2 linked regions of the Diceros bicornis minor genome follow. The protein of the gene in region 1 interacts with the protein of each later gene in a pairwise test. Links are inferred from orthologs where the notes say so. Each region holds a gene or a part of one and is shown in the gene's direction. Other genes may lie near its edges.

What was found.
Region 2: the proteins of LNX1 (region 1) and POMGNT1 interact in binary tests that used the Homo sapiens proteins (3 or more experiments, as listed by UniProt). The link is inferred for Diceros bicornis minor from reciprocal best matches to the Homo sapiens genes LNX1 and POMGNT1.

The regions. Positions count from the first base shown.
Region 1 is NC_080747.1:41,675,758-41,683,147, reverse strand, and holds the start of LNX1 (E3 ubiquitin-protein ligase LNX), read left to right. Parts: upstream 1-4,389; 5' UTR 4,390-4,513; intron 4,514-7,390.
Region 2 is NC_080752.1:9,096,445-9,103,338, reverse strand, and holds the start of POMGNT1 (protein O-linked-mannose beta-1,2-N-acetylglucosaminyltransferase 1), read left to right. Parts: upstream 1-3,872; 5' UTR 3,873-3,947; intron 3,948-4,118; exon of another isoform or gene 4,119-4,411; 5' UTR 4,412-4,461; coding exon 4,462-4,581; intron 4,582-5,202; coding exon 5,203-5,317; intron 5,318-5,453; coding exon 5,454-5,572; intron 5,573-6,228; coding exon 6,229-6,294; intron 6,295-6,384; coding exon 6,385-6,498; intron 6,499-6,894. UniProt on the Homo sapiens protein: Participates in O-mannosyl glycosylation by catalyzing the addition of N-acetylglucosamine to O-linked mannose on glycoproteins.

The DNA.
Region 1 (7,390 bases):
CCATAATTGCCCTCCTGGGATCTGCTTATTTGCATCATGCTAAGTACTTGTAATTAGCCAATGAAAGATTTGGAGCTAAGCTAGTTTTTTTAAAAAACTGAGGCCAATATGATGGAATGTGTACAGCAATTCCATTTCATAATACTAAATACTTTCAGCCAAAGAGGTTTTTTCTAGAGGTGCCTTTTATTAAAATCAGATGGAATATGTTCACTTTTGTTGTGGCATTCAGTCATCTTAGACAACTCTACAAATATGCCATGAAAAAAAAAAGGAAGCAAACAAGGGCAAAGTAATTCTTACAATCACGAGGTATGGTCTTAGCAATAGGTTCATCGCCAGGGAGGAATCCTTGAGAATGCCAACCTTCATTGTGGTGATCTGGAAGGAAAGAGCTTTGAACAGAGGCCTCCTCTCCCCCTTTAGACTTCCCTGTCAAGATACATAAAAGAATTCAAACTAATCAAAAAGCCCAAGTCAGCTGGCTGGTTAACGAGGACAGGCCCAACCTTGACTTCAGAGAGCTTTCTAACACGTTCCACCTGCCTCTCCAAAGAACAAAATTTACAGGATATATTGACTGCAAAGGCGGCTTGCTTCTAAAGAGAAAGATGGTCATATGGTAGCCGAAATGGCAGACCACGGAAGTTTAGCTCAACACTGAAAACACTGTCGCTCTTAACAAATTACCCCATGCCCAAGATACTAAATTTCTTTCATTCTTTTCTTTTTTAAGCTGTTCAATCATCATGAGAGAAGTAGTCAGCAGTAATGTGAGGACCTGAAACAGTCAGCCCTTGAGGTTCTTTATGATCTGGTCCCACCTTACCCGTCCAAATTTAGTGTGTGATGGATCCTCTTCACCCCAGCAGGGTGAATCATTTTTCCCCTCCTCCCCCACCACGCCCCTCCTTCCCCACCACACGCAGGCTGGGGTCATCCCTGCCTCCATCTGTGCTGCTGCCCTGCCTGGAATGGGTTGCCCTTCTCACCATCTCTCCAAATCCTTCAAGGTCCAATTCATGTTCCATTCTCCGTGGAATCTTCCTCAATGGCACCAGCCAACACCAACCTTTTCCTTTCCTGATTATCCCTCCCACTTACTGTCAAAGGAGGGATAGAAATTGCTGCTGTGCTTGGACTTACATTGTGAAGATTCCGAGGTTACCTCTGAGCTCAAGGCTGCCATGGCCTTTTAGCAATGACAGTGAAAATGGTATGCGAGGAGGGCATGGGGCAGTGTGTGTCTAGTATTTGCCAACCCTGGTCTAAACCACCTCACTTGGCAGTGGCATGTACTGGAGCTTAATTTTACATTGTCTCATATTATCCAACTGTATGTTGTTCTATGTTTTTATGGTCGTTCTGCTAAGATTTTCAGATTTTAAAGGGATAGACTGTTGAAGTTATAGAGAGAAATGACCATAAAAGATGTCATAGAGAGTCACAACCGATCATTCTGGCGGGACCCCTTGAGTTGGGGCCTTCCCTTCTTGAGGTTGGTTTGATGGGCCTCCAAAAGATGATTTCAAGTGTGCACCCAGGGGTGATGGATTTCCAGGTGTGTTTTCTGATAAACACACGTATAAATATATCCATATGTATGTATGTTCTATATATATATACTCAGTGCATAAACCTGATTACTCATTCATTTGCAATTGGAGACATTCCTCCCCAGAAACTACACACCCCAGGGCTACTTCTACAAGACACTTGCTTCTGAATAGAGGGTAGGTAAGAACCTCGATTAGTACCCAGGCAGTTGCCCAGTGAGCATGAAATCAGAACCTTCCCCCCTTTCTTTCCAGCAGTTACAATTGTTCTGGCCCTGCCACTTGCTGGCTGTGCTGTGCTTAAGCAAGTTCTCACCTCTCTACGCCTTGGTTTTCCTAGCAGTAAACAGAAAGAGTGCTTAACTTACAGGGTTGTTGTAAAAAGTGCTTAGACAGTAAGTAGCACCTGCTAAACACTTATTTATAATTTTTTATAATTATTTTTTATAATTTTTATTTATATCTTTTCACCAATACTTAAGAAATATCATTTCCATAATAATGCAACAGCCCTAACGGAATAATGAGGCACATATTGATTTTTTAAACCTTTAAAGATTATTCTAAATCCAGGAGAATCAAATGCATCTCACTTGGGATGGCCGACTATGTGAAATACATCTAGTTTTTTCTCTTCTTTTATATACCATCCCTGGGAGTGAATTCCACTCCTGGGTCAACTCTTGTTCTTAATTTTTATTCATCAGACTATATATGCAGATGGCTGTATATATGTGAATATAGCAAGTGAAACCCTGTAGCCTTGAGAGGCCTTTGGATAAAGCTTTATGCACTGTCACTTCCTGCAAATTCTTTTCCCCTGCAAATACCCCACCACCACCACCAAAAAAAAACCTGTCTGTGATTCCTGCCTCCCAAGTCAGACCTGGTGCCCTTGGAAAAAGGTGAGGCATGACTGACACACAGGGTAGGCAGGCTGCTACAAAGACTGCTGGAGGCAAGGCCTTCTAGATGATTCATCAGGTTGGCAGGCTCACTCTGCTCCTCCTCCTCTCCCAGAGGACACCCTGTCCAGGGAAGGAGAAGCCTTTGTTGTGCTGGTGTTTCTCAGTTCAGTATCAAACTGTTGGACTGGTACTTTTTCCTAAAAGACCTGCATGTGAAAGCTTTGCAGCCTTCATCTTTTTGCTCTTGTCAATAATAAAGGGGTAGCCACACCTGTCTTAGTTTCTATTGGATAAAAATGAGGATGGGGGATTTTTGTTTTGTTTTGTTTTGTTTTTTAAGCTTCCAACACTCTTCAGAGCCACCAAGTTCCCTGGGTAGTTGAGAGCAGTCTGCTGTCGGCTAAGAGGAGAGAGGAGCTAGCTCTCCGGCAAGTGAAGTATCCAGAGCCCACCACACCAGCACCCTTGACTAGAATTTCTCCTCCTTCCCTCCCTGGTTGTTTTACAAGGTATTGAATGACTGGCTGCACCCAGTCAATGTCGAGGCCAAGAGAATGGAATTGAGACCTTCCTTCCCTCCCTCCTCCCCCTTCCCCCATCTCCCTCCCATTTATCCTTCTTTCCCCCCTTCCCCCAGCCAAAACCCCAACCAAGCAAATGATCCCCAAACCTCTAAAGTAGTACAATGTTAGAACATGTGGAACCAAAGTATTTCCAGTATCAGGAAGAGGGGAAAGAGGGGAAGAGAGAGACAGAATAGGGGGAAAAAATAGGAATTTCAACATTTTTTTCTTCAAGAGAAAAAAATATCTCTCTAGGCAAGCAGGCCACCCACCCTAGAGGGAGAGCCCACAATTTTTCCAGGTAGTACATTCCAGAGAGTGAATAAACTGTCCAGAGATGCCGGAAGGGGGCCGCAGAAATACACAACATTTAATACAAGGATAGGAGTTGTTTACAATCCTCTGAAAAATGCCCAAGAGTCGAACAGGCCTGGTAATCACTCACAGCTGCGCTGTGGTGCCGGCTGAGTTGTAGGTCTCTGTCTGCTGGAAAAGCTGAAGCAACACTGTGACTTGCCCAGGGTCACACACCAAGCTTGGGACAGAAACAATTCCGATTCCTCCTTCCTGGCTCTCACAGCAGTCAACGCTGCCACCTTATTACTGTACTATCCTTCAAATCTGAATCATTTAAATTGCTCCTAATTGCAGGCCTACAGTGAACTGTAACCTCCACGTGACTCTAACTGCTAGGCAAGCTGAGGTCAGAAGGACTGAAATTTTACAAACTCCTGAACATGGAATTAAGATGTTGGGAGGGGGTGGGGGGTAGGGAAAAAGTGTTTGAAAACTCGACTTCGAAACTGCTGACAAATACCATATTTAGATTTCTTTTTAAAAAAAAAAATGAATTTGAAATGTCACCTCCAATTTGTTATTCTGTTGGAACAGAGAAGCACTTGGAATTCAAATGGATACCATTCAAAAAGGCATGTGGGGGTAAATTTCATATTTTCCAAGCAGTCAATCTTCACACACTTCCTTTTTTGCCCACTAAATTACCGTCTCGTTTCGGTGTTTAAACTTCCTTTTTAACTCTTTTGTAGGCAGCTCTTGGGAGGTGGTGGGAGGAGGGGCCCTGGGAAGCAACCAGGCCTATAAATTCAGATCTGTCCACGGGCCTGGACACGTGCTGTGCTCAAGAAAGAAAGTAAATTCCATCCGGCAAATTGCTCTAATTGATTCATTTGTCCACCAGGGACACCACCTACCTGCTTGCAGGTATTCAGGTAAATGACAGGCGGGCGGGACCTACTGGCTGTTTCAATAGCTAAGGTCCCAGCAATGTTTTATCAGTCCAGGCTTCCGTGAGGTCACACATTTCCTGCTCCCGACCGACCAATGCCCTCCTCCTTCCTCTAGGCACCTGTACACAGAGGTTGAGGCTGTTCACTGCTCAGGCAGCCCAGGGAGCTGTGGGATTCATCCGCAAGGCATGAGAGCTTCGAGGCTGCTGCTGCTTTGAGAGCCCCAGATACTTGAAAAGGTGAGCTGAAACCTCCATTTTTCTCTCTTGGCGTTTAGACCACTGGCCCCTGAGGGATCTGAATGAGGAATTTGAATGAAAAATATAAACTCAATGGCTCAGCCCTGGGTGTTTGTCCCAAAGGGAGAAGCCCTTTTGGGAGGGAAGAGTAGAGGGATGCCTTTGACATTTTGGTTGTACAGGAAAGTCCTTCCAGGCCAGATATTTAATCCTTTTTGTTTCTCCTAATCATTAATCCAGCCTCTGCTTGTCTGGGAAGTTAATCTGATTTTTTTTTTTTTAACCCAGGAGTGGAGACTTTTTTGAAACTTGACTCAAAGGTACAGACCTGTTCAGCCCGTTTCATGGGGGTTGGGAGGCCAGCACTGACTGAATTCGGAGTTGTCTTATTTTTGCCTTATTTGCCTTATTTTGCCTTACTCTCTGCGTTCATCTTACCAGAGGCAATTTCAATCTAAACCTGTGAGATGTTCCTAAAGTTTTTGTTTTTCCCCCCAAGTCTGTTACTTAGATGGGTAACTTCTGTTGCCCTCCTCAGAAGCCCTCCACTCCAGTTCTCTCCTCCCTCTTTCTTCTCTAAAAAAAGTCTACTGTTTTCTTTGTTCTTGGTTGGACACTTTTTAAAATCACTTTGCAGTCTGGACTAGAATTGTTCATATTCAGACCTGGACTGGCTGCGTGCTGAGCTTCAGTTAAAGTAAAGATTATTTCCTCAGTGCTTAACAAGAATGTAAGTTCAGGTCTGATTTTTCATTTTTCTGAACTCCTCCACTTTTTCCTCTCTTTTTCTTTTGATGGCAAATATACCGAGGAGATTGTTCTGCTAGGACCTGACTTGAAGTAATTTTACCTCTAGGATCCATTTTTGTTTTCTTAATCCTGATCACACAGCCGGTACTACTTCTGTTCTAGTCAGCCCAGTAGCCACACTCTACACACAATGCTGTTGTTAGAGAAAGGAAAAGAAACCATCTCCAAACCTAGTTCCCTGCTAGGATGAGCTGGAAAACTTGGGGAGAGAAATCAACTTGCGAGGGATTTTTCATTGGCGATTTTTCTGAGATTTCAATTAGCAAATATGTTTGCAAGAGAATAACCTGTTAGGAATTATGCTCGTATTCATCCTCCCAGAAATTCAAAGTGCATGTCAATTCTCCAAAAGTATAAATGGAAACAAGCTCAGAAGATTTTTGTCTCAGACTGTTCCTTATCACCACTGAGAATCTGCCCTGTGCTTGTTGCCAATTTCTCTCTCACTCCTTGGAGGTTTGTATTGTTCTGTAACTGACCCTTGTGTCTCTTCTTTTCCCCTGAGCCGGTGTGTTTGAGTGGTGGCTATGGCTTGTCCCACGCTAGTGTTCTTACTTGGTTCAGAGTTTTGTCAGCAGAGGAGAGAAAAAGATCTCTGAGATCCTGAATCTTCCAGATAAAAATGTGTCTTCAAAGTCACAAATCTCGCTACAAGATTGCGTTCCCTCTGGGTTACCTTTGTATAGTTAATTTATGATTAAACAAATCATTTCATCACTATATGTCAGAGCCCCTGGCTATTAAAGGAACAAAGCTGTGGATGCTGTAGCCCCAGATATAAGAAAGGAAAAAAATTACGAAGACTGGAATTTAGGGTCAGGTTATCTAGAATGCAATTGGTCTGTTGGATAAGTTGCACATGAGTATTTTCCAAACAAGTGAAAAAGTCCACAGTGGTTCCCTTCCTGTGGTAACTCCATCTCTTGGTTCAAGTGGCAATAAGGCCTGATTGAAAAATATATTCTTTCTTCCATTTACATCCTTGAGTAAGTTACTCAACTTCTCTGACCCTCAGTTTCTTCAACAGTAAAACAGGAGATAATCTCTTACGACACAAAGTGGTCATGAGAAATAAATGAAGTAACATACATAGAGCGACCAATGTCTAGTGCCGGGTGGGTGCCAAATAAAGGCTAGGTCCATCGTTCTTGAAGGCATTTTCCTGGGTTGCTTGTAGGCGATAGTTTGATCCTACTGAGATAAATGATCTTATGTGGTTGCAATTGTTAGGACCACTGATCGTTCTCATTATGATTATTAATTGTAAGTAATTAACTCCAAGCTTAACAGTTTGGAGAAAGAAAACAGGCAGGAGGCAGGAGAATGCTTAAACTATGTCATTAAACAGGCCAGGCAGACTCGTCTCCGCCAGCCTCCCAGGCCATGTCTAGGAGCTTCCGGCCACTGCTGTCACTCCTGCCTTTCCCCACCTCAAGGATCTCATCCCACAACAGACCCACAAAATGTGGTCCTCCACAGACCTTCGGGGGAAATGTCCTGTTGTTATCTGCTGTCATCTGACTTGGCAGGCAGCCCTTTCTGCTCTCAATCGTGCTATCTCCAGGGCAGACCGAGCTTGGTCTGCTCCAGTCTGGCAGATAAATAGCCTTCACCGCAGCCTGGCGAGCTACCATGCCAAGTCACTGGTAGCAGGAGGCAGCCAGTTTGGAGCCTGTACTGTACTATGGAAGGGGGACTTGTGGATCCTTTGGATATGATTGCCCCCCCGCCCCGCCCAATGGAATATCCTGTGCCCTCCGATGACCTTGAGTCATTGCCTAAGAGCAGGAGTGTTCCCAGGCCCCTGGGACCTTCTCCAGGTCTCATCTTATCCTGAAAAGATAAGGCAGGTTTTCATCATTCAAGAGCAAGGTAACAGCCTAGTGGATTGAGGCCAGGGGTTCATAACCTTGAACCTACTACTAGCTTGCTTAGGGGATCCTGGGGAAGAACCTCAACCTCCCTGTCCATCAGTTTCCTTGTTCACCTTTTCCCACATGTGGGATGCTGAAGTAGCGTACTTCACACCCGCCCTGCGTCCTGTGACAGAAGCTAGATGGGCGGCAT
Region 2 (6,894 bases), on another chromosome or scaffold:
GGGTCCTCCTTTCTCCGCTGCTAATGCGGAGCGGAACCGGTGGGTCCCCGCCCGCGCCGCGTAGGGGCGGGAGGAGGGCGCCGTAACGCTCAGAAAAGCCGCGCAGGACACTGTTTGCGTGTGTGTATATATATATATTCGAGTGCTGCGCACGCTGCCTCTGGCCCTGGAATGCGTGCGGCTGGGCGATTCTGGGTTTGGACTTGAAGGAGCCCTCGGAGAGCTGAACGCCTTCTCCCTACCCTGGCACTGAATCCAGCCAGGCACACAGCAGGCGCCCAATAAATGTTTGCTGAATGAAGGCTAAGCATCCTCAGTTAGAGCTATGGGAATTTAAGGAACAGTGATAAAAGAGCTGCAGAGGGTTTTGGAAGGCTTCCTGGAGTAGATGAGCTGGGTCTAAAACAGTGATTAGAATTTAGCTAGTCACTGACACACACGCATACACCCACAGTGTGGCCGCTGAATTTATTTATTTATTTTTTATTTATTTATTTTTTGGGGGAGGAATATCAGCCCTGAGCTAACATCCATGCTAATCCTCCTCTTTTTGTTGACGAAGACCGGCTCTGAGCTAACATCTATTGCCAATCCTCCTCCTTTTTTTTTTCCCCAAAGCCCCAGTAGATAGCTGTATGTCATAGTTGTACATCCTTCTAGTTGCTGTATGTGGGGCGCGGCCTCAGCTGGAGAAGCAGTGCGTGGCTGCGCGCCCGGGATCTGAACCCCGGGCCGCCAGTAGTGGAGCGCACGCACTTAACCGCCAAGCCACGGGCCGGCCCCTGGCCACTGAATTTAGACTAAAGGAGTGGAAAGGAAAGTTCTTCTGGCCAATGAGGAGCAACCAGTATTGAAGCTGAAGAGGTCCACAAGGGCCAGATCATACGTGATCTTGATACTGATGCTTCTTAAGCTTGACTGTGCATATGAATTATCTGAGAATCCTGTTAATATGCAGATTACTGTTCTGTAAATCTGGGGTGAGGCCTGGACTTCTGCATTTTTAACAAGCTCTCAGGCAATGGCCATGCTGCTGGTCCAGGGAACACACTTTGAGCAACAAGGTAATGGAAAATGGTTCTAAGGTGCTTAGATTTTATTCCACAGGTAATGAGGAGCCATGAAAAACTTTTTATGGTTTGGCTTGGTTTTGGATTTTAATCCAAGTAATTCCAGTCCATGGTTACCGAAGGATTTACAATGAAAACATAGTTACCCCTGCCCTATCCTTTCCCACCTCTAGTCCCACTCCCCAGAGGCAACCACTTTTAGCTATTTTTTTCTGGTGTTTATACCTATAACACCACATAGGTTTATACTGTATCACTAGTTCTTCATTTTAAAAATTGTCTACTGACTTCCTATTATGATAAATACAACTTACCTTACTTACACTCCTTACTTCCCTTCTTCCATTGGCCCTATTTATTTCTATCATTATTTTTAGTTCATTCAATGGTTACCTTCGTAATTTTTTTTTTTTTTTTTTTTTTTTTGTGAGGAGATCAGCCCTGAGCTAACATCCGCCAATCCTCCTCTTTTTTTGCTGAGGAAGACGGCCCTGGGCTAACATCTGTGCCTATCTTCCTCCACTTTATATGGGACGCCGCCACAGCATGGCTTACCAAGCAGTGCGTCGGTGCGCGCCCGGGATCCGAACCAGCGAACCCCGGGCCGCCGCAGCGGAGCGCGCGCACTTAACCGCTTGCGCCACCGGGCCGGCCCCTACCTTCGTAATTTTAAGTAATATATTTCTCCTTAACATCTCTTGATTCATGAAAGGGTTTTAAATCAGAGATTGACAAAACAGATTTCCTTTTTTGAAAAATTACTCTGGATTTTGCAAGAAGAAAGGATTGGAGGAGTAAAAATCTGGAGTCAGGGAGAGCAGTTGGAAGGCAAGCAAACGAAAAGGACTGCACCAGGGGCTGGTTGTGAGGTTGGAGAAGAATGACACCAGAATGAAGGACTCTTTAGGGGGTAATATTGACACGATTTGGTGACTAATTACACTCATTTATTTATAGTGGCATTCAATAAATATTTGTTCAAAAAACGACAGATTTCAATAAGTATTATGGAGAGCCTACTATGTGCTAGCCATTGTGTGTGGTGCAGAGAATAAAGTGATGAGCACACAGACGTGGACTGGTTGCTGAACAGAGAAGAGGAATCAAGGGTGACTCCCAGCTGTTTGGCCTGAGGCCATTCACCAAGCAAGGGAGCCCAAGAAGAGGTCCAGGAGTGGGAAGAGATGATTCCAGCAGGAGTCGTGTTGAGTTGGAGGGGCCTGTGAAGATGTCCAGCAGGCAGTTGGACACAGGTCAGCCTGGAGCGCAGGAGAAAGGTTAGGACTGCAGATATGAGTCTAGGAATCAAGAAGGTAACCGAGGTCAGGAGAGGGGATGAGATCTTCAGGGAGACTGAGTTTGAGGAGAGACGAGAGTCAGGGAGGAACACTGAGGGACATCTTTTTCAAATGATAACAAAATGTATTGAGTTTTCTTCTGTTCTAATACGTAGTCATTAGGAAAAATCACCTATTGCCTCAACTCCTAAGACAAGTACTGTTAACATTTTGGGGGATATCATCCCACCATTTAGAAAACAGATGGACTACGGAGAGCTCAGAAAAATCTAACTGGTCTTCTGGCGTCCTGTTTCCTATTAGCACATTCTCCACAAAAAGGTAAAAGTTCTTTTAAATCAGATTATGTTGCTCTCCTGCTTAAAACTGTTCCATGGCTACCTACTTCAAATAAGTGTCACTGTCACCTAGAAACTTCTTAAAGATGCAGCATTCTTCTCTGCCCCAGATTACTGAATCAACTTCTAGGAATGGGGCCCAGCAATCTGTGTTTTTTTTTTGTGAGGAGATGAGCCCTGAGCTAACATCTGCCAATCCTCCTCTTTTTTTTTTTTTTTTTTGCCAAGGAAGACTGGCCCTGGGCTAACATCCATGCCCATCTTCCTCCACTTTATATGGGCGGCTGCCACAGCATGGCTTGACAAGCAGTGCGTCCATGTGCGCCCGGGAGCACACGCACTTAACCGCTTGCGCCACCTGGCCAGCCCCCCAGCAATCTGTGTTTTAACAAGCCCTCCAACAGATTCTGATGCACACTCAAGTTCAAGAACCACTGTGTTAAGCTAACTGCTTTATATGTATTATCTCATGTAACCTTCACATCAACTCTCTAAGTATTACTATGGTGCAGGGGTTAAGAGTGGACTCTGGAGCCAGGCCGCTTGGGTTTGAATTCTAGCTCTCCCAGCTTGGTGACATTGGGCCTCATTAGTAATAGTACCTACCTCATGGGGTTGTTGTGGAATTAAATGAGTTAATATAAGTAAAGTGTTTAAAACTGACTGGCATACAGTCTGCATCATATCAGCACACCCCTATTTCACAGAGAAGGGAACCTACGCCAAGACCTGAAGTGACTTGCCCAAGGTCTAGGTGATTAGCAGAATCAGGTTTTTAATGTCCCTCGGCCTCCAAAGGCCCTGCATGCCCCAGACCTGGGAGAAGCCTCGCCCAAGCAAGGGGCCAGGGTCGCTGTGTCCCAGGCTTGTCGCCCCTCTGACCCCGGAGCGCCGTGGGGTCTGGTCCAAGGCTCTAGGACTCCGACTCGCATCGCTTTGCCATCCGGCAGTGATGGCGGCGGAGAGGCTGCCCTCCCCCAGCAGCCCCCATCCCGCCGCCCGCGAAGCGGCCGCGGCTCCGAGCGCTCGCGGAGTCACGGGCTGCAGACCGCCCGCGCCGCCCTAAGCGCCGCCCGCCGCCCTCTCACCCCGCGGCGGCGGCGGCGGCGGAAGCGGGGAGGCGGGCCGGGCCGCGCCGGGGCGGGGCCGCGAGCGGCATGGAGGAGGCGGAGGCCTCGGCGCGCCGGGCCGAGCCGTGCGGGCCCGAGCGGGGCTCCCGCGAGGCTCGCGGCCCCTGAGCCGTGAGTGCCTCCGGGCGGGGGTCTTGGAGGGGTGACGCGGCCAGGGCAGGTCGCCCGAGTCGTCGGGAGCCCCGAGCCCCGGGAGGAGAAGAGTTGGGTCACGTAGGAGGGGGCGAGGACGGAGGACGGGGAGGGGGGGGTGGGTCGCTGCCCTGTGCCCGCTCTAGGACTGAGAAGGCTGGGTCTTGGGCCTTTTAGGGGCTGGTGAACCTTGAGAGCCGATTATTTGGCCTCCACCGCTGGGACCCTGGGCAACCCTTCAGTTCCCCCAACCCCAAGGGAGTTTCCAGGTAATCTGACCCCTCTGAAGCTTTTCTTTCCAGAGAAGTTGAGCCACTTTCCCCAGGTCACACAGCATGGATGCCTGCAGGGAAGAGTTGTTGGGAGGCCCTCCCTCATCTCCCCAGAAGGCATCAGACTTTGGGAGGAACACCTTACCCCATGTGACCCTTTGGTCCCTTAAGATTCCTGAAGGCATGGGTTGGCCAGGACAGCGGTGACCCCCCAATCCAGCATGGACGACTGGAAGCCCAGCCCCCTCATCAAGCCCTTTGGGGCTCGAAAGAAGCGGAGCTGGTATCTTACCTGGAAGTATAAACTGACCAACCAGCGGGCCCTGCGGAGATTCTGTCAGGTACAGAGATGTCCCATACCTCCCCGGGGGCTGCCTCCCAGCTTTACCCCAGCCTAGACTGTGGGCACTGGGACCTACCTTGGCTGCCCCCACCCTGGAAAGGGACAGCAGGTTCCTAGAGGGAAACCTCTTTGTGCCATGTTCCTATCAGGTAGCGGTTTAGCCCCAGAGTTCTGGAATCAGAACCCAAGTACAACCTCCCAGGCTTCTGACAAACCTGAAGTCGGATCAGGAAGGCTTTGCCCAGGGGCACACACCTGTCAGGCAGTCAGGGCTAGGACCCAGGGCTCTGATCCCCAGCTTGGTTCTCTGGGACTGGCTCCATCTCTAGGAACTAATTGTGGAGGGGACCAGGGAAATCAAGGCCTCAAATGGAAGACTACAGGAGCTCTGGGTAGGGAGGGCCCTGATGAAGTGGGAAGGGTCAGGGGAGTTTCCCTGGAGGAGGTGGTCATGAAACTGGACCCTGGTTGAGGGAGTAGAGCTGGGCAGACATAGGGAGCAGAGACAGGCCCCAGGTTCTCCCTGTGTCCTCACTACAGCCGGGGCCCTCCTTTCAGAAAGACCCTCGATGAGCTGGAGGAGGTGCCTGTCTTTAGTCGTGCCCACCCCTCCCCTCAGACAGGGGCCGTGCTTTTCCTACTCGTGACCGTCATTGTCAATATCAAGTTGATCCTGGACACGCGGCGAGCCATCAGCGAGGCCAACGAAGACCCAGAGCCAGAGCAAGACTATGGTGGGGCCAGGCTGAAGATGCTCGGGTTGGTGGGGAGGGGGGTGTCTCTTGAGATCTCATGGCTGAAATGGCAGGCAGATCCCAAGAGGTGAGACTCTGCTGGAGAGACTTTCCATGACCTGTCGCACGCCCGCAGATGAGGCCCTGGGCCGATTGGAGCCTCCCCGGCGCAGAGGCAGCGGTCCCCAACGGGTCCTGGATGTGGAGGTGTACTCGAGCCGCAGCAAAGTATACGTGGCAGTGGATGGCACCACGGTGAGTGGGCCAGTGTCTGGTGTGTAGTCACTCTGTTCTATGTAGGGCGTGGTCCACTGGCTCTGGGGTCACTGCCTGAGTGGGAACTGCACCTCTGCCAGTTTCTAGCTGTGTGACTTTGGAGGCCTTAGTTCCTCATCTGTGGACTATGACTAATGATTTCTACTTGTGAGGATTAAATGAAAATCCTGTGAAATGTCTTAGATGTAGTGGGATATTATCAAAAGTGATCATTAGTATTAGTAGGCAGTTAATTAATTGATTTATTTATTTCATAACTACTTCCTGGTCCTTTCTTTGGCCTCAGCCTTGTGCCACACTCTGGAGACCTAGAGGTAATCAGACCTGGCCCTACTTTGAGGGGCTCAGTCTGATGGATTGTAATATCTCCAGCATGAGAGAGGAACAGTCAAGGGCTCTCAGAGCCATGAAAGCCATGAGGGGAGACTTGTAGAAAGATGTGGTCTCTTTTGCTGAGAGTGCTATGGAGGCTTCTTGGAAGAGGTGGCCTTCAAGCAAGGCTAGAAGAGAACTGTGTGAACAGAGGCATAGGCAGGAGGGGAGGTTTCATGCAGCTGGTTTTCTAAGTGCCCATAGGACAGAGAGGCCTTGAATGCCAAAGTAAAGAGCTGGACTTTTTCTCTGCCATCCTGTAGGTACTGGAGGACGAGGCCCGGGAGCAAGGCCGGGGCATCCATGTCATCGTCCTCAACCAGGCTACGGTGAGGTTCTAGGGGTGGAGGACCTGGAGGGCCAAAGCTGAGCCCTCCTTGCTGATGACACTAACTCACGAGAGTTGTGTCCCCTGCCAGGGCCATGTGATGGCAAAGCGTGTGTTTGACACGTACTCACCTCATGAGGATGAGGCCATGGTGCTGTTCCTCAACATGGTGGCACCTGGCCGAGTGCTCATCTGCACCGTCAAGGTCAGTGCCTCTGCCCTGGCCACATCCCCCCCTACACCCCCAGCTCCAACCCTGCTCGTGGCCCTGGGTTCTCTGCCTCTAATATGGCTTAGTGGGAAGAGCCTCTGGAGGAAGGTGACTCAGGTTCCAGTCCTAGCCTTGTCATTTTATTAATTCAGCAGATAGTTATTGAGCACCTACTGTGTGCCAGGCACTGCTCTGGGTGCTGGGAATACAATGGGAGGCAAGACAGAGTCCCCACCCTATGGAGCTTCCTCCAGCAGGGCAAGATCAGCAAAAACCAGCCAAATAAGTAAATGTAGAATGTTAGGAAATGATAACTCACATTATAAGAAGAAAATGAAGCAAGGGACACAGAGTGATGGAGGATGCATTTTAGGAAGAGAAGTCCTCTGT